Linked DNA regions of Notamacropus eugenii. The protein of the gene in region 3 binds, or shares a complex with, the protein of the main gene of each other region. Links are inferred from orthologs where the notes say so. Each region holds a gene or a part of one and is shown on either strand. Other genes may lie near its edges. The genes, in order: ARPC5L, ARPC3 and ACTR2.

Region 1 (7,390 bases), about 190 Mb from region 3:
TAAGCCACACATTAAAGAAATTTGGAAAAATATGTAAAATTCTTCTCACTATATTTTTTCCTTTTGGAAAAGTTATTTTCCAGAAAAAAATTTATGTTAATGTGTAATGAGTTAATAAACATTTTTTTTAAATTATCAGTTTTAATTCTGAATGTGGTAAATATTAATAGCAGGGCAACTAGGTGGCAGAGTGGTTGGAGTGCCAGGCCTTGAGTCAGGAAGACTCATTTTCCTTGAGTTCAAATGTGGCCTCAGATACTTATTAGCTTTGTGACCCTGGGCAAATCACTTAACCTTGTTTGACTCAGTTTCCTCATCAGTAAAATGAGCTGGAGAAGGAAATGTAGGAAAAGGAAAGACTCCAGAAAAGTGGAAAACCTCAAAAGGGGTCACAAAGGGTCATATGACTGAAAATAACTGAACAACAAAAATATTAATAACTAAATCCCACAGCAACAAAAGCTCTTTGAGATCCTCAATAATTTATAAGAGTAATAAGGGTGTCTGAGATCAAAAGGTTTGAGAACCTTAAGACTAGATGTCAAGTCTCTTCAAAATCCTGTGACTTCCTATGATCCATTGTTTCATTTGAAGAATGCAGGCTACATTCCACTGACTATAGTATTAGCCATATTTTACAGAAATTTGAGACCCAAAGAGGCTAAGTTGCTTTTCCAAGGTCACAAAGACAATAAGAAGCAGAAACTGAATTCAAACCCAGGTCTTTTGACTTCAAGTACAGAGTTCTTTCTACTAACACCTCAAATTTTTTTTTACAAAAGAAAAGTATGCAATTAAAATTAGAAATAGCAAGGCATAATAGACAGGGAACTGACCTTAAAGCCAAGACCTCTGACTCACAAGGGCTCTGTGATCCTGGGCAACTCTTGGCCCTCTCAGTGCTCTAGGCAACTTTCTAAGACACTAAGTTGCAGAGATGATGTAGCCATGCAAAGAGTGAGTTTTCTGAGAATTCCCTACAGCAGTGAAATCACAGGCCCTGTGATGCATAGAGATGCATTAAAAAAACACCAACTGCAAGCCATAGTTATGATTTTTTTTTTAACAAGTCAGCTTTAAGGAGAGAAAAGTATGATCAGATCAAAAAAAGAAAAAGTACAGTCAGACCAAAGTGATAATGTTTGCATTATTGTCCTCACAGGGTTGTTGTAAACCTCAGACATAAAACAGGGAGCTGTTCAACGGAGCTGTTAAATTTCCTCCACTTGAGACTGCTCCCTGGAGTAGTCCTTATTTTCTGAGACTGAGTCAACCAATTAAAGGATCTTTGGGTAAATAAAAGCTGCACATTATGTGTCAAACTTCTTTATTAGAAGTTGTACCAGAGAGACATAGCTGACTATAGCCATCAATAAAATGAAGTATATTCTTCTTTCTGAAGTCATGAACAGCTAAGCGCCACTTGATAACCTTCCTGCTTATAAAGATTTTGCTTCCATAGCCAGAAATAAGACCACTTCCAGAGTTTAGGGAGCCTATTTTTGGCCTTTATGAGAAGCTGTCTCACTTTTTAAAATCTCTAAAACTGCTTCCAACCTCAAAGGGAAACAATATGGAGAAAAGATATGCCAAACAAGGAACACTAAAAGCTGTTGAAATAGCAAAAATATACTAACAGAGAATGAGATGAGGCTATTTTTAGAAGCCAAACATTCTAGGCAGGAGAAAAAAAAGTACTTCTGGGGAAATAAAGAAGAAAGTCACAATTTCAGACAGTGGGAACCAGCACTAGCCCTTCCAGCTTTCCTTTCTATTCCCAGGCAGGGGTAAAAAATCCACGGGGCCTTCTTGTATTCTAAAACTGCTTCCCTCACTTCCCCTCCCCCACCGCACACCTATTTTTAACAAGGCTCGATCCCTGTCACAGCATGAGGGTATGAAGCACGGTTAATGAATGCAGATCTGTATCTGGAACTGCTCTGACCCCATCCATTACTCAGCACTGGATCACCTTGGGCACTCCCCAGACCGGCTGAGGAGAAGGGCCCCATTTCCTGCCCCATTTCCCCCCCTACATCTCCACTCCGTAGGGTGGGGTCCCATGCAGTTAAAGACACCCACCCCTTCCATTTCTGAACAGGTAAAACCAACCACTCCACATTTTTCCCAACTTGGCCCATCCCTCCGGCCCTCACACCTGTATTCAGTCCCAGGCCGGTGGGATGGGGAAATCAGAACACTTGGAGAAGCCAGAGTCCCAGGGCTTCGGGGGCAAGTTCCCGGAGGCTGCCAATCTCTTTACACAAAGCAGGGATGGAGGTGCAAATCACCAGAGGGGAAAACAAGGTGCTGACCCCCTGAGGTGCGTGGGGGGGGGGACCCTCGATAAATGTTTCCTACCTTGAGCGGGTTCTACAATGTACCGGAAAAGCTAAACCTGCAGCACAGAACTAGGATGGGGAGAGAGGAATCTCCGAACCGCCGGACCGGTGGGATGCAGCCGGGCGGAGAAGGGTGTCCGGAATCGCGGGGCGGCCCTGGAAGGCTCTGGGGGTGAGCGGGGGTGACCGGCGCTCGCCACCTCGCCACGCTCCCCTCCCCGACCCCTCCCCCCCTCCTCTGGGTCTCTCCCTGCCTGCGCCCCCTCCTCCTCTCCCTCCCCGGAGCCCGCGCGGGGGGCGGAAGGATATTGCCGCAGGAGGCTGTCCACCTCCCCGGGGTCCGGGTCCGAGTCGGGGCCCGGCTCCGCCGCCGTGGCCGCCGCCGCTTCCTCCTGCTCGTCCACGAACTTGTTCTCGTCGAACTCGTCGATGTCCACCTTGCGGAAGCGCGAGGACAGCGTGTTCCGAGCCATGGCGGCGGCCGCCTCCGCCTCCCGCGCAAGGCCGGGGGAGAGAGAGAGAGAGGAGACAGCGAGAGACCGCGAGAGCGCGAGCGAGAAGACCCCGCAGGGACAGCGCTCGGAGCCCGGCAACGGCCCCGGCAACGCTCCGGAGACGACTCCGCCGCGCCGCGCGCCGCGCCGCGACGCACACCCACTTCCGGCCAGGGCCGGAAGCGGATGTCGGTCAGCGAGGGGGCGGGGCTGGGCTTGGGGAGGCAAGGAGGCTGCTTTGCGCCGGCGAGGCTGACCCCGGGCCGCTTCTGCCGGCTGGCGGCTGCGGGGCGGGGGAGGGGCGTGGTGGTAAATAATCGTTCCAAACCGATGCCCTACTGCGAGTGTGTCAGGATTTACCCCATCAGCAACAGCCCAGGGAAGTAAGAAGGGCTGAGGACTAACCGTCTTCTTCTGCCCGAATCTAGAAAGGGCAGCTGGAGCGTCCCTGAGGCCCCTCCCAGACCTCGCCGTCTGAGAATTTGTGAGTGATTGTGCCCTGCTGGCCCAGGGAGTCAGCGGGCACTGGTCAGGGAGGCGGAGAAAAGGCCCCTGCTCTCCCGGATCTCAGTCTGCCCAGGAGACTGGCCGGACAGCTACGAAGAGAGGAGGGGGAGACAGCCCCAGAGGAAAGGCCTGTGTTCGGCCTTCCTTCTCAGAGAGGACCATGACGTCAGGGAGATGACGACATGACTTGCCCTTGACCTGGTTTTGAGTGAGGGAGGGCTGTGCCAGGTCACCAGCCTCACTGGAGATGGCCCAGGATGTAGTGGGAGACCCTGGCTCTTTTAGGCGAAGACTTTTCAGGTTCTCACTTTGAGTGAATTAATACCCATTCAGTGAATAGGCCTCTTTGTCAAGGGATGACCCCTTTAATCTAAAAAGAAAAAAAGGGAAGGCCCTAGTAGGAGGGAAGAGTGGGAAAGGCTTCTTGTAGTTAATCAATATATTATTTCAGTCAATCACTAAATATTTATTAAGCACCCATTATGTACTAAATTGTGCTAAATGCTAGGCATAAAAAAGAGGCAGAATACAATCTTGCCCTCAAGGAGCTTACAATCTAAGGAACTTTAAGGAAGGAGAAGTAAGGAAGTGGAATTAGGGAGAGAATTCTAGGCATGGAGAACAGCTTTCCCCTTTAATCAGAGGGGTCCCAGAGGCAGAGGGTACTGATGAGGTCGGTACCAAGGCTGATAATGTGATTTTGCAGAATGGTGAGGTTCCTAGGAGAACCTGACTGCTAAGTGCTTTACAAATATTCTCTTTTTTGATCATTTAATTACAGCTGTTGGAGAGCCAGGACTATCACTCATCTTTGCCTTGCCTTTACTACTGATGAATCACAGATCTCAATAAGTAGAGGAGCTGTCCAAGAAATGTTTATTGAATGAAGCTTACAGAGGGACAGACATTCCCAAAGAAGGGAAGTGACCTGCTCAGAGCCACATAGGATTTAGAAGGGGATGGGACCTTAGAGATGACCTAGTCAAAACCCCATTATAATGAAGACTAAGAAACTGAAGCCCAGTGCATGAAAATGTTTTGCCAAAAGTCACTAATCTGAAAAAGCAAGGATTGAAACCTGGTCCTTGGACTCCAAATCCAGTGTCCTTCTGACTAAGATCCAGCTTAGAATCTGTTTCCTACTTCCCTTTAGTATCTTTTCCAGGAGTCCATACAGTCTCCCAGGCTTTAAAACTCAACCTGCCAAAAGACAAAAATGAAATCCAGGTCATGATTATCCAGTAGTATTACAGGATATGAGAGGCACAAAGAAAGTAAAACAAGAAAGGGCATTAGGAGAAGTGCAAGATTACCTGAGTGACAGTGGAGAACTATGTGAAGGCCCAACAATCTTCACCTGGTCTGACCCAGAGGCACCAATTTCTGTTCTTTTATGTCCTGGGAAACCTTTGGGCTGAATGGGTGGCAAATTCTCTGCCTTGATCTACCTGTGTCATAGTTTTATGAGGAAAGCATTTTGTGGATCTTAAAATGCTATAGAGATGTGTTACATGGTACTCATTTTCCATTCCCTATCTCCAAAAGGCACTTTGGAAAGCAATCCACATCTCGGAGCTAGGGATTGACATCCTCAGTGGGAGAAGGAGCAGTTATTATTGTCACTTGACATTCATGAAGCGCCCACAGCCTGCTGGGTGCTGTACCAGATACAGAAACAGCCCCTGCCCCTGCCTCTGTTGCTTAGCATCAACTGGAACTATATATTAGAGATGTTAATTGCTGACAGGTTCTGTGTGTGAGCTAGATGTAACCAAACAATTTCCAAGAATGAAGTGACATCAGAGAATCAATCCTAGTAAGGAATTTAGACACTTTAAATCCAATCCCTTCATTTTTAGGGCTCGGAGAAGGAAGTGATTTGCCCAAGATCACATAGGGAGGAAGTAGTAAAGCCAGCATTCCAATTCAGGTTCCAGATACCCCAGGGTTGTGGTCAGAGAACACAGCTAGAGAGTTCCAAAAAGACTGCCTTATCTTTCCTACATCCCTAAAGAATAGGATTGGGAGGGAAAACTAAAAACCAAGATCCTTCCAGTTTCTTGAACTCTGGTCCAGATTCCTTCTACCACTAAAATAAATGTAGTTATGAGAAATATTGCTATATCAAACACTGATGTATAATAATAATTCATAATGATGCCCTTTATTATTTTAGCACTTTATAGTTACAAGGAGGCATTATAAATGGAATGAATGGAACATTGAACTGAGATTCAAAGGGCCTGGATTTTATCCTCAGCTCTTCTGCTGGCTTGAAACTTTTAGGTACAGATGTCAAGAAAGTGGATTTTGAATGATATTATTGTTTTCTGAACCTCTTTGAAATGAGGGGATAAGTCTTCAAGGATCTCTGAAGGCCCTTTAACTCTTAAAGGCTCTTCTCAGCTCTAACATTCTGTGTTCTTACATCTCTATCCTATTATATGTCTTAACATTATATATTTTAATATTCCCTGATTCCACATATATGATCTAGTTCAGATCCTGGAATGCTGGTTTTCTTGCCATTTGTGTGATCTTGACCCTTTAACTTCCTTGGGCTTCAGTTTCCACATCTGTACAAAGATTATTAGACTAGACTGTTTCTAAGGTTCCTTCCAGTTTTAAATCTGATGCTGTTATTCCTTTATTTCTTGTGAGACACATTGGTGAGGGAGGCAGTGTGTGATTGTCCCCAGAATGGATCAGTCAGCAAGAACTTATTAAGCACCCACTGTATTTCAGGCACTGTGCTAAGCTCTGGAAATACAGACAAAAATGAAACAGTGCCTACCCTCAAGGAGCTACTTTCTAATGGAGGAGACAGCATGTGCATATGTAAGTGTATATACATATCTACATATCTTTAAATGTAAAATGAATACAAGGTCATTATTGGTGAAAGTACCTTATAAACTAGTGAGATCAGGAATGATTTGATATAAAAAGTAGGATTGAGCTGAATCTTAAAGGAAATAAGGGATTTTGAAAGGGGGTTGTCGGGAGGATCTGTGAAGGCAATGAATTCCAGGCATGGGCACAGCAAGTGCAAAGGCAGGGAGACTGGCGCTGAATAATCCTGTGTTGCCCACAGAACAAGTAGATCAGTAAGACAGGACAGCTAGGTTATGTACAGGTCAGAAATGTGTAAAGAATACTGGAAAGGTAGGATTGATTGATTTTACAGAAGGAAAAAACTGAGGCCCTATATTGTGTTCTAAAGGTGAGGTCCAAGGTGTTCAGAGAAATTCGATGGGGGAGGAATCCAGGAGGGCGGAAGAAGCTCTAGAGCATCCTCGGCTTTAACCATGGGTGGGTGTGCCTTGTGGGGCCTGTTCCCTCCCCACTGTCTGCCTCCTCCTCCTCTCCCTTCCTTCCCTTCCCCAACTCGCTTTCTGGGCGGGCTGTACCATTCTCCGTACATCTCACCCTTCCTCCCGTTTACTTGGTCGCGCCCTGACCCGGTAGTAGTTCTCAGGGTCGGCTCCTCCCCTTCCCTCTTTCTCCTTCAAGCTGGTGGCTGTGCGTCTGAGCTGAAATCATGGTGAGCTCTGCGCGGGGAATCCGCTGCCATCCTCGGGCTCCGGAGCCCTCCGCTCCGCGTCGCACCCGGGGGCCTTCTGCCCGGGCTCCGATGGCGGGAGGTGGAGGCTCCGGAGCCGCGGACCGGGGCGCTGTTCACCCCTGACGAGCCTCCGGCTGCGGCATCCGGGCGCTTCGGCCTCAGCGCGGGTCCTTCCGGCCTTGGGGAGGGTGGCGGGGAGGGAAGAGGGAGCGGCGGGGCCGCGCGGCGCTCGGGGCTCTCTTCAGGCCGAGGCCCCGGGGGCCCTGGGGAGGCCCGGCAAGGCCAGGCTGCGGAGCCAGAATCCACGTTCCCCGGGGTTGTGCCCGTTAACCCTTTCCATTAACTTCCTAATCCTGGCTGTGTCCTCATTTTGGCGGAGCCGCGAACTCGGAGTTAGGAGAGATTCCGGCGCTAATTAGCTTACGTGACAAATTAGGATGTCTGGGCTTCATCTGTAAAATGGCAGTGGAGGGGACGAAGAG
Region 2 (7,898 bases), on a different chromosome or scaffold from region 3:
AAAAATTCTTTGTTATAAGATGTGGTCCTCCAGGAATGGGGGAAGGGATGTAGGGGGAAATATAGGCAATAATTGAAAACAAAAAACATCAATAAAATCTGTTTTAAAAAAGAAAAAGGTGGGGGAGAGGGGAATTTAGAACTCAAAATCTTATAAAAGTGAATGTTGAAAATCTTAATTTTAAAAACTGGAGATCTGGATTAAATAATTTAAAAAAAAAAGGTGGTTGATGGAACTCTATGCACGGAGGAGGCTTACCAACCACAACATTCCTAGTGGCGGGTGGACAGTGTTAAATGACCTTGAAGGTAAGTGGACAGACCAGTCCCTGAAGGTAGCAGGTGCCCGGGCTTGGGTCATGCGTGTATATTCTTTAAGCTTCTTCTGCTGACTCCCTCATTTTAGCTCCGACTTAATGGGTCAGAGAGCCGTTTCACTTGTTAGTGCTTATGATATCCCACCTGGCTAGGACAAGTGTTCTCAAAGCTCTACTTCCTCAAATAGGAAAAGGAGATGAACAAAATTGTGATGAGGAAATTACCTTTAACTTCCTCCTATCCTGCTCCTGTTTATGTAAATCACGAGCAGACTAGCTGGAGAAGACTAAAAAGGCCTTTGTCTCCTGTCTGTCTCTCTGGCCTCTCTTGCGTCTACGCTGGAATCCCATACCTAGTAGACTTTTCCAGGTGATTTGGCACTTCTAGGATCTGTGCGTGGGCCCTCTCTACAAGGAACTATGTCTGTCTCAATAGCTGGTCTTTGTCAGTTGCTTTGGCTCCAAAACACTGAATATTTGCCAGATATTAGCTGATTATTAATCGTTACCTGAAATGTCCACCTACAAGTGCCACTGTTGGCACGTTTAAGACATTTAAGAAAAAGTAATTAAACTTTCTCTTTCTTTGTTGAAAGGAATCTGAAGAAGAAAAATCATCCATGTTGGATGATTATTTTCAAGACCGTGGGGATGAATGAAGATATTTAATTTTTCCAGTGTTTATTAAAGCATGAAGAACTTTGTGGGCAGAATCTTATAAAGACTCATGTTTAGCCTCAGGGAGAAGTGGATGGAGAATTCATCTTTCCAAAGCAGAAAGAGTATGGCTAATCCACAATCTGAACATTGCCACTTCTCCTTTCCCCCAGCCTGGCCAAAGAAAAAGAATAGTTTGGAAAATCTCCATTGGCAAATGTTTCCAAATGAAGTCCCAAGTTCTCTAGGGTGTATAGTACTTGTTAAGGGAAGACAAATTCTGGGCTACAGACAAACCCTTGGTGCTGCTGTTTGTTACTTCCATTTTGGGGGAAGGATAGTTTGCATTGTGGTGTACAAGTGGCACAGAGGGAGATATCAGCTTGACTTCAAGAAAGAAAGACTTCCTGACAGCTCGAGCTAACCCCAGATGGCATAGGGCTCCTTGGGAGGTGGCAGTCTGCAGGGCTTCCCCCAAAGGCAGGTCATGAGTGTGATAGAGAGGATTTTTTTTACTGGTTCAGGTTGGGCCAGATGGCCTGAGGGTTCTCCTCCCTCAGAGATTCTTTCCTGTGGTTTCGTTATTGGAAAAATGATTCTGTTCCCCTCTCTCAGAATGGACTGCTTAGAAATTACTTTTATAATAAAAAATAAAATGTTATGTCTGAATTGTCCGTAGCCCTTTCATATTCCAAATTATATTTGGAAGTCCCTCCGCCCTGCCTTTTTGGGCCAGACTTAAGTACCCTGTGCCATTTTCAAATTGACAACTGTGTGTAACTTAACCATGTTAATGAATTTCCTTAGAGGTTAAATGGCTTTCCCAGGGTCACACAGCCACCAAGTGACAGAGGCAGTGTTGGAAGCCAGGTCTTTCTGACTTCTCTGCCCCATGTCATGCTACCTCATCCAAATTCCTACCAAGGGCAGTTTTTGGTATTAGGGATGAACTTGACACACACAAAAGCTATCAAGAAAAATTTATTAAAAACGGAATTCAGAGGAGGGAAGACCTTCTGCGTGCCTTCCCCCGAAGGAAAGGGTAGCTTCCAGCATGGCCGCTGGAAGGACGACGACCAGGTCAGAATGAGGCAGGACACTTATAGAATTCTGAACTTAGTGAAGAAAGTTGAAATGTAGTGATTCCAAAACAATGAAGAATCATCGTCTTGAGGTGGGCCAAGTAAAACATGGCGGACATTGCAGAACATCTAAAAAACTATTTTGATTTTGCTGTTTCATCTCTTTTTTAGACTTCCTTAATCTGGCCAGGCTATCAACTACTCTGGGTCAGGTGTTGTGCTATCCAAGTAAAAACCAGTCCCTGCCCTCAGGGAGCTCACTGGCCAAAGGCTGGCATTCAGGCATGCTGCCCCTTGTAACTTTGTAAGTGGCAGGTCATGTGAAGGAACCTGAAAAATGGATCATTTTGCCCAAGGTCTCTCAGATCTGAGGCCCAAACCCAGGTTCTCTGGCTACAAATCCCATATTCTGTGGCACACTTGCTGCCCCCTGAATTCATAGGCTGGAAATGCAAAGCCTCTCCTAAAATTCCTGCTGAGCCTTTTTCCTGACCTAAGCGTAATGTCTATTAGGCTCATGGTGATAATTGATTTTTGAGTTGCAAGGTGCCTTCAGGGGTCATATAGAGGGCACCTTACCTCATCCACCCATTTTACTATGAGGAGACAAGCCCAGAATGATGGAGTGAATTCAAAGAATTGAATTTCACAATTGGAGAGGACCTTAGTGGCCAATCAACCTTGTCCCAGGTCACATCAGTTGTGCTGGGATCATAAAATTAGAGCCCAGAGGGATATTCATGGCCATGACTTGCCCCGGATTTCACATTTTGGGCAGTATTTGTGTACCTCCCAGAGATCTTTGGGGAGCAGATAGCAATATCTGGAGTCTTCAGTAACATCCTAAGGAGAAAAAATAGATGGTCTGCAGCTTTCTTCTGTGCCCAAGTTACAAGGCAGGGGAGACTGTAGATATTTAAGGACGAGACTATTTTTTCCCTTTTTAAATGCTCTTGTTGCTTAAATGAACACCCACTAGGTAGCCAAATTTAATTTGCATGTTGTTATTCAGTTGTTTCAACTGTGTCTGGTTCGTCATGACCCCATTTGGGGTTTTCTTGGCAAAGATACTGGAGTTGTTTGCCATTTCCTGCTCCAGTTGAGTTTACAGATGAAGAAACTGAGGCTAAATGACTTGCCCAGGGTTACACAGCTAGTAAGTGTCTGAAGCTAAATTTTGAACTCAGGGCTTCCTGGCTCCAGGTCTGGTGCTCTTTCCACTGCTTCATATCCTTATATAATAATATCCTACGTATTTTGTGTCATTCAGATTTTAGGTTTTCTCAGTACCCAAGATAGCATGTTACCTAAATATTTTATCTAACACATTTCAATGATCTATAGTCTCATCAGTCCAGTGACTGGGGCAGTTGTTGGGGCAAAAAGAAAAACCCAGAACACCTAGCTGCCAAGCCAGTGGTGAGTCTCTTGATAACCCTTGAAAATGTACTTAGAGACCATTCCCAGGACCATAATCAAAACCACCCCAGCTTGACAAGGACCTACCAGAGCTTGAGGTCCCCTGGCATAACCTTGAGAGGGTCTTTAGAGGTCACCAAGTCCATTTTCCAGATGAGGAATTGAGTCCAAAGGAGGTAAAATGAATTGCAGAAGGTCACAAAGCTAGTAAGTGAGGTAGCTCTCAAACCCAATTTGGCTTCCCACTAGACTAGGCTGAGACATCAGAGGAGGGTCTTGGGATGATTTCCTCAGGATGTAATCAATGAGGCTTTGATTTTTTTCTTTAAGTCACAAGTCCTAGATTTTTTTCTTCTTATCTGGAATTTTGTTGATGTCAAACTAGTAAAAAAAAAAAAATACAATCCTCTTTGACTTTATCCCAAGGTAATATAATGACCAGTCTATGTCTGGGAGTGTCATGAACCCCTTTGGCAGTATAATGAAACATATAGACACCTCAGAATAATGATTTTAAATAATAGAACATACAATAATACTGAAATATGGTTTTCATAATATTACATAAGTTCACAAACCCCAGGTTAATAACCCCCTGGTCTATTGCATTAAAAGGTTACAGATTTTGACAATTTAGTTTAAATTGCATATTAAACATATTTTTGTTGTGTGTGAATATGAAGTGTTTTGGTTTTTTTCCCTGCTGTCAAGATGCATTGTGCATTTTAAAATAAGCTGAAAAATGCACACCTAGGTTCTGGCTCTTGTGAGTTGAGGACAATTATTAGGATAGTGATTTGGGGGTGAGGCACCCCCACCTCCAAAAATCATGATGAACTGTGGGATGAGATGGGTGGGCCCCTCCCTCCTCATCTGATTTTCCCAATCCTTTCATTTCTTCCATGGCTCTTCCCTCATCCAGCCACATAGAAGCACACTCTTTCCACCCATTTTCCTATGGCCTTTTATCTTGACCTCTTTTCTGCTTCCCAAGACCCCCAAGTGCAGTTTTTAGACTTTTATTCTTTTAAAATATATGTAACTTCTCATTATAAAAATGTTCATATATTGTATTTCTTTATACTCCAGCTGCACTAAGAAATGAAGCCCCAAATACTAAGAAACTTGTGTTCTCCAGCGATGATTTTCTTCAAATAAGAAAATAAAACGCGCATTTTACAGATGAAAAAACTGAGGCCCAGAGGGGTTGGCTAACTGACTTTTGCCCGGGGTCACCCATTCCCTAAGAGGCAGGATTCGAACCCACACCTTCGTTTTCCCCAAGGCCAGCACCACGTGGGGCCAATTTCTTTAAAACAGGGGATGCTTGTGCTCGCCCCGCCCCGCCCCGCCCCGCCCCGCCCCGCCCCGCCCACGGCGTTGTGGTGCGCAGCCTCAGAAGCCACTGCAAGGAGCTCCAAGCCCTGGGCGGGGGGGCCTTCGCGCATGCGCACGGGCAGGCGAGCTCGGCGCCGCAGCTCTAGTTCTTTGGCTCCCTCTAGTGTTCCCGGCGGCCACACCGGAAGCGCGACCTCCTCCCGCCTCTGTCTCTTCCGGATCGCTTCCGGTTAGACCCCACCCGGCCGCTAGACCGGAAGTATCGGGGTCTCTGACAGGAACCAGAATCTTCTGCTCGCCCGAAGCCCAGGCCCGGCCGCCAAGATGCCGGTGAGGCGCGGGGAGAGGCTGAGGCCTTAGAGGGCCCCGGGGGCGGGAGCGACCCCGAGGAGTGCGAGGGGGCCGGCGGAGGAGGCCAGGGTGGGGGTCCGGCCTTGGGGGAGGGAGGCCGGTCTGGTGTGCGGGGGAGGACCTGGCAGCAAAGACCTCTGCGAGGTGGGGAAACTGAGGCACGGGAGCCCCCGAGGCCTTCCTCGTAGGGTAGCCGGCCTGGAGTTGGGGCGAGGAGATCGCCGCCCGGAGCTACCAGGAAACGGAGGCCTCGGAGGGGAGAGCGCGGTGGGTGTGGGATGGAGGCCTGGAACCCCAGCAGCCCCGCCCTTTTATTTGACAGGCGGGGACACTGAGGCCCGGCGAGGGCGGAGGGCCTCATTGGTGGGGGCTTGGAGACCCCCCAGTGCGGCCGCCTCCCTTGGTGGTCACGGTCACAGGTGGATCCTTGAGCCCGGCTCCCTGCTCTGATGGGTGGGAAAACAGGGCTACGAACATTAAAGACCCTTCTGTCCTTTGGGATTAATTGTCTAACTGACTTGGGGCTGGAGCCCAAAGAACGTATATGAACATATATAAAGAACAGGTCCTTCGTGGGACACAGGGAAACTGAGGCACGGGGGAGAGAGCAGCTCCTGGTGGTGATGGAGAGTCAGGGCCAGATGGAGGGATTCTCCCCCCAACCCCTTCCTTTGACAGTTAAAGGTGCTGAGAGGTGCGAGGGTGGCTGCCTCCTCCTGCAGCCAAACCTGGGAGTCCTCGAGTCCACCTTTCTTATTTGACAGATGAGGAAACTGAGGTGCACAGAGCGGGAACTTGGACCTTAGCCGGTCCAGCTTGGCCAGTATAAGGGGGCTGGGGCTGGAGAGGCAAAAGAACTGCCTCTCCTTAATAGAAACACAGAAGAGATTTGGCCAGCCCTCCTGGGGTCAGATGTTTTCATTTCACATAGAAGCGAAGTAACTTCCCCAAAGCCTCACAGAGAGTCGGATGTGAATCAGGAACTTGGACCCAGGCCCTCTGAGAGCAGCTCCAGTGTGCCGTGGGCCCCCCAGCCCCCCTACCTCATACTCTCCCTTCTCGGCTTCTGTATGCCTTTCCTTTTCTTTCCCAGCTCCAGACTCTGGCTGGATGGCGAAGCTCCTCTCAGTGTCTTCTCTCCCTCTTTTTGTCAGATTTCCTCTCGGGCTCCTTCGCTTACCGCACCTACAGCCTCCTTGTCACTCACAGTGGCTGTGAGAGGCCTGTTCCTGAATGACATCTCCTCTTTTTGTAGTGAGTCCAGATTTCCAAAGCTCTTTCCTCCAAGGACTCCAGCACTAGGATTTATAGAGGCAGATTGTACACTTGCATTATAGACTTGCATTAGATGATTAATAGAATCTCCATCACCTCTAAATCCTAATGTCCCTATTTTACAAATGATGTTCAGAGACTCCCAGTGTTGGACTTCAGTGGCTCCCTCTGTAATCCTCCCTCCAGGGCTTTTGAGCTCTGTGATCATTAGAGTCTTTTCCAGCCCTAATAATCTTTGATCCTGTGAAGATGTTTTAACCAGGAAGTATCAGCAACTCTTTCTCTTGGGTGGGTTGTCTTTTTTTCTTCAGTAAGATGCATCATTGACCTGCATACAAAATGTCTAGACCTTTGTGTGAAGAAGATCTGGGGGTTTTATTATCAGTCACCAGGGTGATATAACAGCCCAAAAAACAAATTCTCTTTTAGGCTCTACGGGTAATAAGTAAGTCACAGTGGCTGTGACCCAAGAGAGTCTAGGTCAGCTGAGCTCTGCCCTGCACATTGAGAGCATGGTGTCTATAGTTTAGGAACAACACTGACAAGCTGGAGAGCACCCAGAATAGGGTGACGTGGGTGCCCAGGGAACCTTGTCCTTCAAGGATCAGGGGGAGGAACTGCTAGTGTTCAGCCTGGAGAAGAGCAGGAGGAGGAGGGCTGGTTTCCTTATATGTCTGAGGGACCCTCATGTAGAAGGTCTGAGATTTATTCTGTTTGGCCAAAGAGGTGGAAGTACTGAAGAGGCAGACTTTTTGTCAAGAAAATTTTTCCAACAATTAAAACTCTCCACAGGTTGAGTGGTTCCTTTCAATGGAGAGAGCTGGTGGTGCCACAGTGCCCAGAGTTCAAGGTCTAGAATCAGGAAGACCCAAATTCAAATCCTTCCTCAGACACTTTTGAACTGTGTGACTCTGGGCAAGTCACTTAACCTTTTTCTGCCTCAGTATCCCTAACAGATGAAGAAAATAATAGCACCGATCTCCCAGGATTGTTATGAGGGTCAAAGGAGATATTTGTAAAGCACTTAGCACCTTGACTGGCACACAGTAGGTGGTATATAAATGCTTGTTCCCTTCACCCCACTAGAGGTCACCATCAAAGGCTAGATGATGGAGTGCTAGACATATTTACTTGATGACTTCTGAGTCTCCTTCTCAGGATGAGATTCTATGATTCTATGGTGTTTATCTCCCTGCCCCTTTTGTATTCTTACATGACTGAAATTGCAGGCATACCACTCCTCTCTCATGGATCCCGACACCAAACTCATTGGAAACATGGCACTTTTACCCATTAGGAGTCAATTTAAAGGACCAGCTCCAAGAGAAAGTAAGTCTATATTCTTTTTCTTTCATTTTGTAAAAAGTGGTTTTGTGGAGTGAGGTATCAAGGTAACCATTCAACCCTAGGAAATTGTGAACGTGGAAAATTTTTGTCATCTTCCTCAGCTCAGGCTGCTG
Region 3 (7,009 bases):
ACAGTGTACGAGTGTTTATAATAGATTTAGCAATGTAAGGACCTGAAACATTTCCAAAGGACTCTTGATGCAAAATGCCATCCACATCCAGAGAAAGAACTATAGAGTTGCAATGCAGAATGAAGCAGAATATTTTCTATTTCATTATGGGTTTTCTTGCTTTTTCTCATGGTTTCTCCCATTCATTTTAATTCTTCTATGCATCATGACCAATGTGAAAATGTGTTTAATAAGAATGTATGTGTAGAATCCACCTACAATTGCGTGAAGGGAAGAGGGAGGGAGAGGAAGAAAAATTTAAAACTTATAAAAATGACTGTTGAAAACTGAAAAGAAATTATTAATAAAAAAAGCACAATATTTAATGCAATAAAAAGATTGCAAACTTGAAAAAAAAACTTAACTACTTGGAAAGCTGCAAAAGACATTTTCAAAGTTTCCAAGTTTAAAGATAAGAGACAGTACTGAAAGTGGAAACAATTTAGATTGTATTTCTGAAGTTATCTGAATTTCTACCTGTTCAAAGAAAAAACTGTTATAATATAACACTCAAATGCAAAATAATGAACACTTAAGTGTTAAATTATTATGTAGCAAATGTATTTATCAAACAATGACTAACATTTCTACACAGGTTTCTTTGGGATGCTCAAAATCATTCGATAAACTATACTATAGCACACATCTTTCACTTTAAATTTTAAAACTACTTCAAAACTATTTTAACAGGTACATAGTTTAAAAAAAAATCTCTACCATAAAAATATAGCCCAGGTAATTCTCTTTCCATCAGCTGTCCCCTTCCACTCCATATAATATCAGGCTCCTGGACTTCCATATACCACTCCCCCTTGCTTTCCAGTTTCCTTTTGAGTGTGGTCTTCTCCTCTTTCTCCCCTCTTAAATTGTGAGCTCCTCAAGGGAAGAGACTTTCTTTTTCTTATTTGTATCTCCACGGCTTAGCACTCAGCCAGGTAACAAAGTTGCTTAATAAATGTTTATTGAACTGAACTGAGAGCCTAAAATCATCTACAAACTCTTAGGAGGTATTAGAGCAAAAGACTCTTAAAAGGGAACTGATAAATAGGTAGCCACCACCACCTTCTCCCTGCCTCCCCACTCCCAGAAGCAAGGAACAGCTCCCCTACATGAAACCATAAAGAATCTGACAGGATAATTTTTTCTGATGTAAGAAAGGGGATTTTAGAAAATTTGATTTTGGTATTCACAAGAGCTGATTAAGTCTGTTTACCGCTAAATACAAGTGGCAAAATTAATGTACTGTACATAATGACTTGTGTTAGCTCTTGCATATGAGTTTAAGCTCACAAGTACATATGCTAACTTTAACGTACATGTCAGCTCCCAAATATACATGGTAGTTTTCATGTTCGTCTATGTGTGCACTTGAGTATACTGTAAATTTAACATTTTAAAAACATGAACATATTCATTTCATTTATAAAAACAAAATTAAGGTACATTTATTTATGTATTATACATAATACATGTATTATACATAATATATGTATAATATATATTCATGTATTATATATTATGTATTACTATGTATTAAAGTACATTATTATGTATTAAAATTAAATGAGTTTTTTAAAAGAAATATATATTAAGGAATTTCAAAAGAAAAAAAAACATTTATTCTTCCTGCACCAAAATCACAATTTTCAGAAAATATGTAGAAACCACAATTATTAATTTGTAAAATGAAGGAAATAAGCCTTGTTCAAACCATATTTTGTCACTTTAATCCTTAAAAGGCAAAATGTGACATGGCATACGCTTACAACCTCTCATCATTTAAAAACTTAGCTACTAATTTCCCCTGGTGTGTGCAAGAAGGCTGTGTTTAAGAAATAAGTTTTACCATATATAGTTTCCTCTTCATAGCATTGTGGTTGAAACTGACTCTCTTACTTCCCACTGAGTCATCAAATGGTAAGAACATTCACAGTCTGTCACAGTCTTTCAGGCAAAAATTAAAGAGTATTAGCTACATTAGCTTGAAAAAACATTTTATGAGCAAATTTAAACCTTGCTTTTACTTGTCTTTTTTCTTCCACTGATTTTATCAGAAACTAGTCCTTTTTCATTATTTTAATCAGATAATTATTAGAACACCATCCTGCAATCCTATTTGTCCCAGAAAACTAAAGACTGAAGAGTTATTGACTTTCACCTCAAAGTTATTCTTTCTTAACCAGATGATGGTTTTATTTCAAACAACCTCAGTATCTCCATAAAATCAGCAGAGTCCCTAAAAAATCCTACCCACAGTTAAATAACAGAAAATTCATACACTAGTGCAGAACTTCTATAAACTACTAAAATTCATAGGGTGGTAACCGGTAGCCAGCAAAGTTCAGGGTTCAACTACATTGTTGTTGAGTCGTTTCAGTTGTGTCTGACTGACTTCATAAATTCAATTTTTGGAGGTTTTCTTGGCAAAGATACTGGAATAGTTTGCTATTTCTTTCTCCAACTCATTTTATAGATGAGAAAACTGAGGCAAGCAGGGTTAAGAGCTTTGCCCACAGTAAGTGTCTAAGGCCAGATCTGAACTCAAGAAAATGAGTCTTACGGACTGGCTTCTTATCTACAGCACCACCAAGTTGTCCCTGCTACGTAAGGATTGATTCTTGAATGAATCACATAGTATTAAAGCTGGAAGTGATTTTGGTGGTCATATGGTCCAACCCCACTATAACATACTTGAAAAGAAAAGTGGTGATCCAGCCTCTATTTGAAGACCTCCAATGATTCTCTTAAGGCAGCCCATTCAATTTTTTGTTCAGTTCTAATTCTTAGGAAAATTTTCCAAACATCAAATCTCAATTTGTCTCTTTGCAATTTTCAAACACTGCTTTAGTTCTGCACCCTAGGGCCAAACAAACAAGTTCTGTTTCTCTTCCACAAGAAGGCCCTTCAAATACTTGGAGAGACAACTATTCTCTCCCTTCCAAGTGTTCTCTGCGTCAAGCTATCCATTCCCAAATCCACCAACCAATCCTCAATTGAAAGAGACTCAAAACCTATGTAGCCAAGAATAGAGTGAATGCAGAAAATTGAGGGAAAAACTCTCACAATCTCTCAGATAGAATATGATTGAGTCATAATATTTTTGTGATGTAGGGAATGATGAGCTGGTGGATCTGGAAAAATATAGAGACTTGGACTTATGAAGGAAGATGCTATCCATCTTCAGAGAAAAAGATGACAAATGGAAACACGTATAATACGGTCTTACATACACACATTTGAATGTATATGTGTATATATGTATGTTTATGTATATGTATATATATGTGTATGTATATTTATGTTATATATAAAAAATATATCTGCACTTAATTGCAGCCTTCTTGGGGAGGGGAAAGGGAAAAATAAAGTAAAAAGTGCACAGCAGAGGATAAAAGAAAATCTATACAAAAGCAAAGAAAAGATGGACGGCTTTGAAAATGTGTTGTACTTATATTGTTTTTCTTGAAATGGGAATTCATTGCTTTATATTGAATCCTCTCGTGTTCTGCTATGTATATGGCAATTTTTTTCTTCTATTATTTTGTATTTAAGTTCAAAATAAATTTTAAAACTTTAATCCAGTCCCAAAGTATATTAAGTATTTTGAGCAGCTACATCACTCTCCTGCCTCATACTGAGTTTGCATTCCACTAAATTCCCCAGATTATTTTTTCAAAAACTAACAAAAAAAACCCTGCTAACTTTCCCTCTCCCATCCTGTGCTTTGGAAGTAGGTTTCTAAAGAACTCAAATCTAAGACTTTGCCTCTACCAGATTTTATCTAATTAGATTCTTCCCAGTGTACTAACCTGTTGAGATCTTTTTGGATGCAATCAAAATGTACTAACTATCCCTCTCAGCTTTGTGTAAAGCCTTCCTGATCTCCAGATTGGAGTTACTTTAGGGTACAGATTCACTGCCAATCCTTGTGATGCCACTTTAGAGAGCAGTTATGCCAAATACTGGAGGAGTTTAAGGGCTAGGACATTTTGGAGAAGAGGGAGAGGAATAAGCATTGATATGTGCTCCTCCTACATGCTAGGCACTGTGCTAAGTGTTTTATTAACATTATCTCATTTGAGCCTCACAACATCCCTGCAAGGAAGGTGCTGTTTTTAATACCCACTTTATAGCTGAAGAAACTGAGGCTAACAGATATTAAATGACTTGCTCAGGATGGTACAGTTAGTGTCTGAGACCACATCTGAACTCAGGACTTCTTTACTACGGGCCCTTCAAACGCCACCAGAAGCCTAACTGAGAAGTATTAGCTTCCTTTCTCTTTGCCTTACCCTGAATGTTATACGGAGTGGAAATATTAGAAATGAAGAAGTAAATACTGCACCTTCATCCTGCCTTGTAACTGTGAAATGCTTGGGCATTTTTAAGCCTGACCAATATTCTGATAATTTTATATTTCAATGGAGTTAGGATTTCATCCCTCCTAATGATGAACACTAGAAATCATCCATGCACTCTCATTTTCTCCCATAAATTGGCCACAAAGGGTCTATCTAATGATTTGGGGACCTACTTCTCATTTTCCAGGCATCAGTGGATATCAAGGAAGTGCAGGCTATCCATTACTCTTTGTTCTTGACTGGCTTACCTTTTTTGGTTTTCCTGATCATGTATTTCTGATTACATCTTTATCACAAGGCCTTTCCTGAGCCATTTCTGGTTTGGAACATACTGTATGCTACCCCTGCCTACCATGTACCTTTTGGTTTATCCTCCATCTAATTCCATAAACCACAGAGTATGATTATATGTGACTATGTAACATCACAATAAGACTACTGGTGTTAAAAAAAAAATAAGAGCTTTTGTTATAGGAAGAAGCTTGGAGGGGAACTGTCACTAAAATAATTGTGCTATTTAACAAACACAGTCTAGCCCATTATTCTTCTTGTTTTATTTTCAGCACAGCTCATAACTGTATTAAACGATCACTTAACTTTTTTTTAAAGCATCTTTTAAGTGTCCAGTCAACTCATACAGGTTAACGTGGATTCTTGCTCTGTTGCTTATTTTCTTTGCTTCAAAAAATTGTTGAACAATTTGTTATTGTTCAACAAATAGAAGCTACAGGTTGCCTATCAAACTGCATAGCAGTCTGGGATGGAGGCATTCTTTAGGTTTCTCTATGTGAATAGTTAAAACTGAACTAAATGATTTAAAAGGCTCTGTGATCTTCTGGGCCTTGGTAAAACTCAGCACATTATTATTTGCAAACAGAAGAATCTGAAGGCAAAAGGCCTGGCCAATAAGTAGTAAAAAATCACCAAACTTTGGCATAAACCATCGCTAAAAAAACTTTGAACGAACAAAGAACAAATGAAAATGCTACATGCATACTATGGCCTTGCAAATATTTAAATGCATATGAAATGTTGTTCTAGAATAAAATCAACATAAAAGACAGGGTGTGATTGATTTACTAGACTGTATATATATATATGTCTATATCAAAAGCTTATAGAAATGCCAAAGTATCCATGAATGTATTATGATGCTATCAATATTACTTCATTACTAATGCTGGTTCTTTCTTCATTTTAAACTAATTAATGTATTCATATTTGCAGACACTAACAATATATATACACACACACACAGTTACAGAGAAGGTGTCAATTTGCATTGTCTGCAGAGGGAATTTCCTCATTTAGAAGTTCTCTAAGCGAATGAACTCTCATCTACTATCACTAACCCTATATAGATCTCTAAATACATGCACAAAATTGCTTTCTGAACATTACTGTGAGTATAGTGGAAATAAATCAGAGATAATCCTATATTTCAATCTTCTCCTTTGACAAAAATCAAAATGAAAGTGTCCTAAGAAATCAGTGTATTTTTTCCAGTACATTTTATATTTAATAATCCCTTTAAAAGGCTATGGCATCAAAGCAACAGGGATTCCCAACCATTTTTTTTTTCCAACAGCCCACACCATTATAAGAGGCAAACCTGTGTAGTACAGTAAGTAATAAATTACCAAGCTGGGTTCTAGTCACAGTGATGCCACTAACATGAGGTGTTACCTTGTGCAAGTCACAACTGCTCTGGGCTTCAATTTCTTAATTTACAAAAGGTTTACTTATGTTTATTTCAAGTTCATTATGTTTTCCACAGTATAATTCTAGAAGAGTTTACCAAAATAATTATTTTTAATTTTAATTCACATACTAGACCCTGCTGGGAGAGAGAAGTGTAGGCAGGATCACTAAAAAAGCATCTGTACATCGGTATGCTGTGGCAACCTCAAGAAGAGTTGAGAACAAATGTACCATAAAAACGTAACATAAAAACAAATGTAACATAAAATCATTCCTGGAGAACACATTCCAAAGAAATCATGTTTCAATCTTGAGATTTGTTCTGATTTTGCTTTCTGATAAAAAATTTTAAAAAAAGGCAGACCTTTCTTCCCCTCTCCCAAAAGGAGCCTGGGGGAAGAAAGGGAGGGGGAATAACCAACCGTTTTTACAACTCCCGGCGTTCGGGGATCTCATTTAAGATCATACCCATGGGGAACTCGCAGTAGGAGAAAAAGAGGAACGGGAGGGGCTTGGTAACTTCTCCCAAGGTCACCACCACACCTGGGCAGCCCTCGGCCCCCGGGGCTCGCCCGCCCAGGCTCCTCCGACTGGACGTCCACGGTGGGCGCCTCCCCCAGACCCCCTCCCGGGAGCCCCTCCGAGACGCGGCTTGCAGACGGAGGCTGCCAGCCCTGCTTCCTTTTTTAGCCCCTCGCTTCCTGCCTCCGAGGCTCTACCTTCGAGTTTACAGGAAGAGGAAGGCCCGACCACTCTTGTTTTATAAAACCACAAGCTGCTCGAGATGGAGCGGGTCTATCTTTCATCAGCCACCCCCGTTGTCCTCGGCAGCTCCTCCAAGGCACTCAGGGAGGGGGCGAGCAGGAGACTATCCCCCCATCCCCCGTCCGCGGGGATGAGAGGCGCGG

The links.
Region 1: the proteins of ACTR2 (region 3) and ARPC5L are in contact, whole or in part, in a cryo-EM structure (PDB 6YW6), measured with the Homo sapiens proteins. The link is inferred for Notamacropus eugenii from reciprocal best matches to the Homo sapiens genes ACTR2 and ARPC5L. Residues at the interface, in NP_005713.1 of Homo sapiens: Tyr225, Glu263, Phe266, Gln267, Arg319, Lys322, Gln323, Ser338; in NP_112240.1 of Homo sapiens: Arg11, Arg12, Val13, Asp14, Ile15, Asp16, Glu20.
Region 2: ACTR2 (region 3) and ARPC3 share a complex: the UniProt entries of both Homo sapiens proteins name them as parts of the arp2/3 complex. The link is inferred for Notamacropus eugenii from reciprocal best matches to the Homo sapiens genes ACTR2 and ARPC3.

The regions. Positions count from the first base shown.
Region 1 is NC_092872.1:447,139,715-447,147,104, reverse strand, and holds the start of ARPC5L (actin-related protein 2/3 complex subunit 5-like protein), read right to left. Parts: upstream 3,012-7,390; 5' UTR 2,816-3,011; coding exon 2,652-2,815; intron 2,324-2,651; exon of another isoform or gene 2,221-2,323; intron 1-2,220. Other genes in the region: RPL35 (large ribosomal subunit protein uL29), read left to right, coding at 6,122-6,181. UniProt on the Homo sapiens protein: May function as component of the Arp2/3 complex which is involved in regulation of actin polymerization and together with an activating nucleation-promoting factor (NPF) mediates the formation of branched actin networks.
Region 2 is NC_092875.1:35,944,023-35,951,920, forward strand, and holds the start of ARPC3 (actin-related protein 2/3 complex subunit 3), read left to right. Parts: upstream 1-4,824; 5' UTR 4,825-5,136; coding exon 5,137-5,142; intron 5,143-7,667; coding exon 7,668-7,767; intron 7,768-7,898. Other genes in the region: GPN3 (GPN-loop GTPase 3), read left to right, coding at 913-975. UniProt on the Homo sapiens protein: Component of the Arp2/3 complex, a multiprotein complex that mediates actin polymerization upon stimulation by nucleation-promoting factor (NPF).
Region 3 is NC_092872.1:639,069,544-639,076,552, forward strand, and holds the start of ACTR2 (actin-related protein 2), read right to left. Parts: upstream 3,087-7,009; 5' UTR 2,731-3,086; intron 2,007-2,730; exon of another isoform or gene 1,984-2,006; 5' UTR 1,967-1,983; coding exon 1,886-1,966; intron 1-1,885. UniProt on the Homo sapiens protein: ATP-binding component of the Arp2/3 complex, a multiprotein complex that mediates actin polymerization upon stimulation by nucleation-promoting factor (NPF).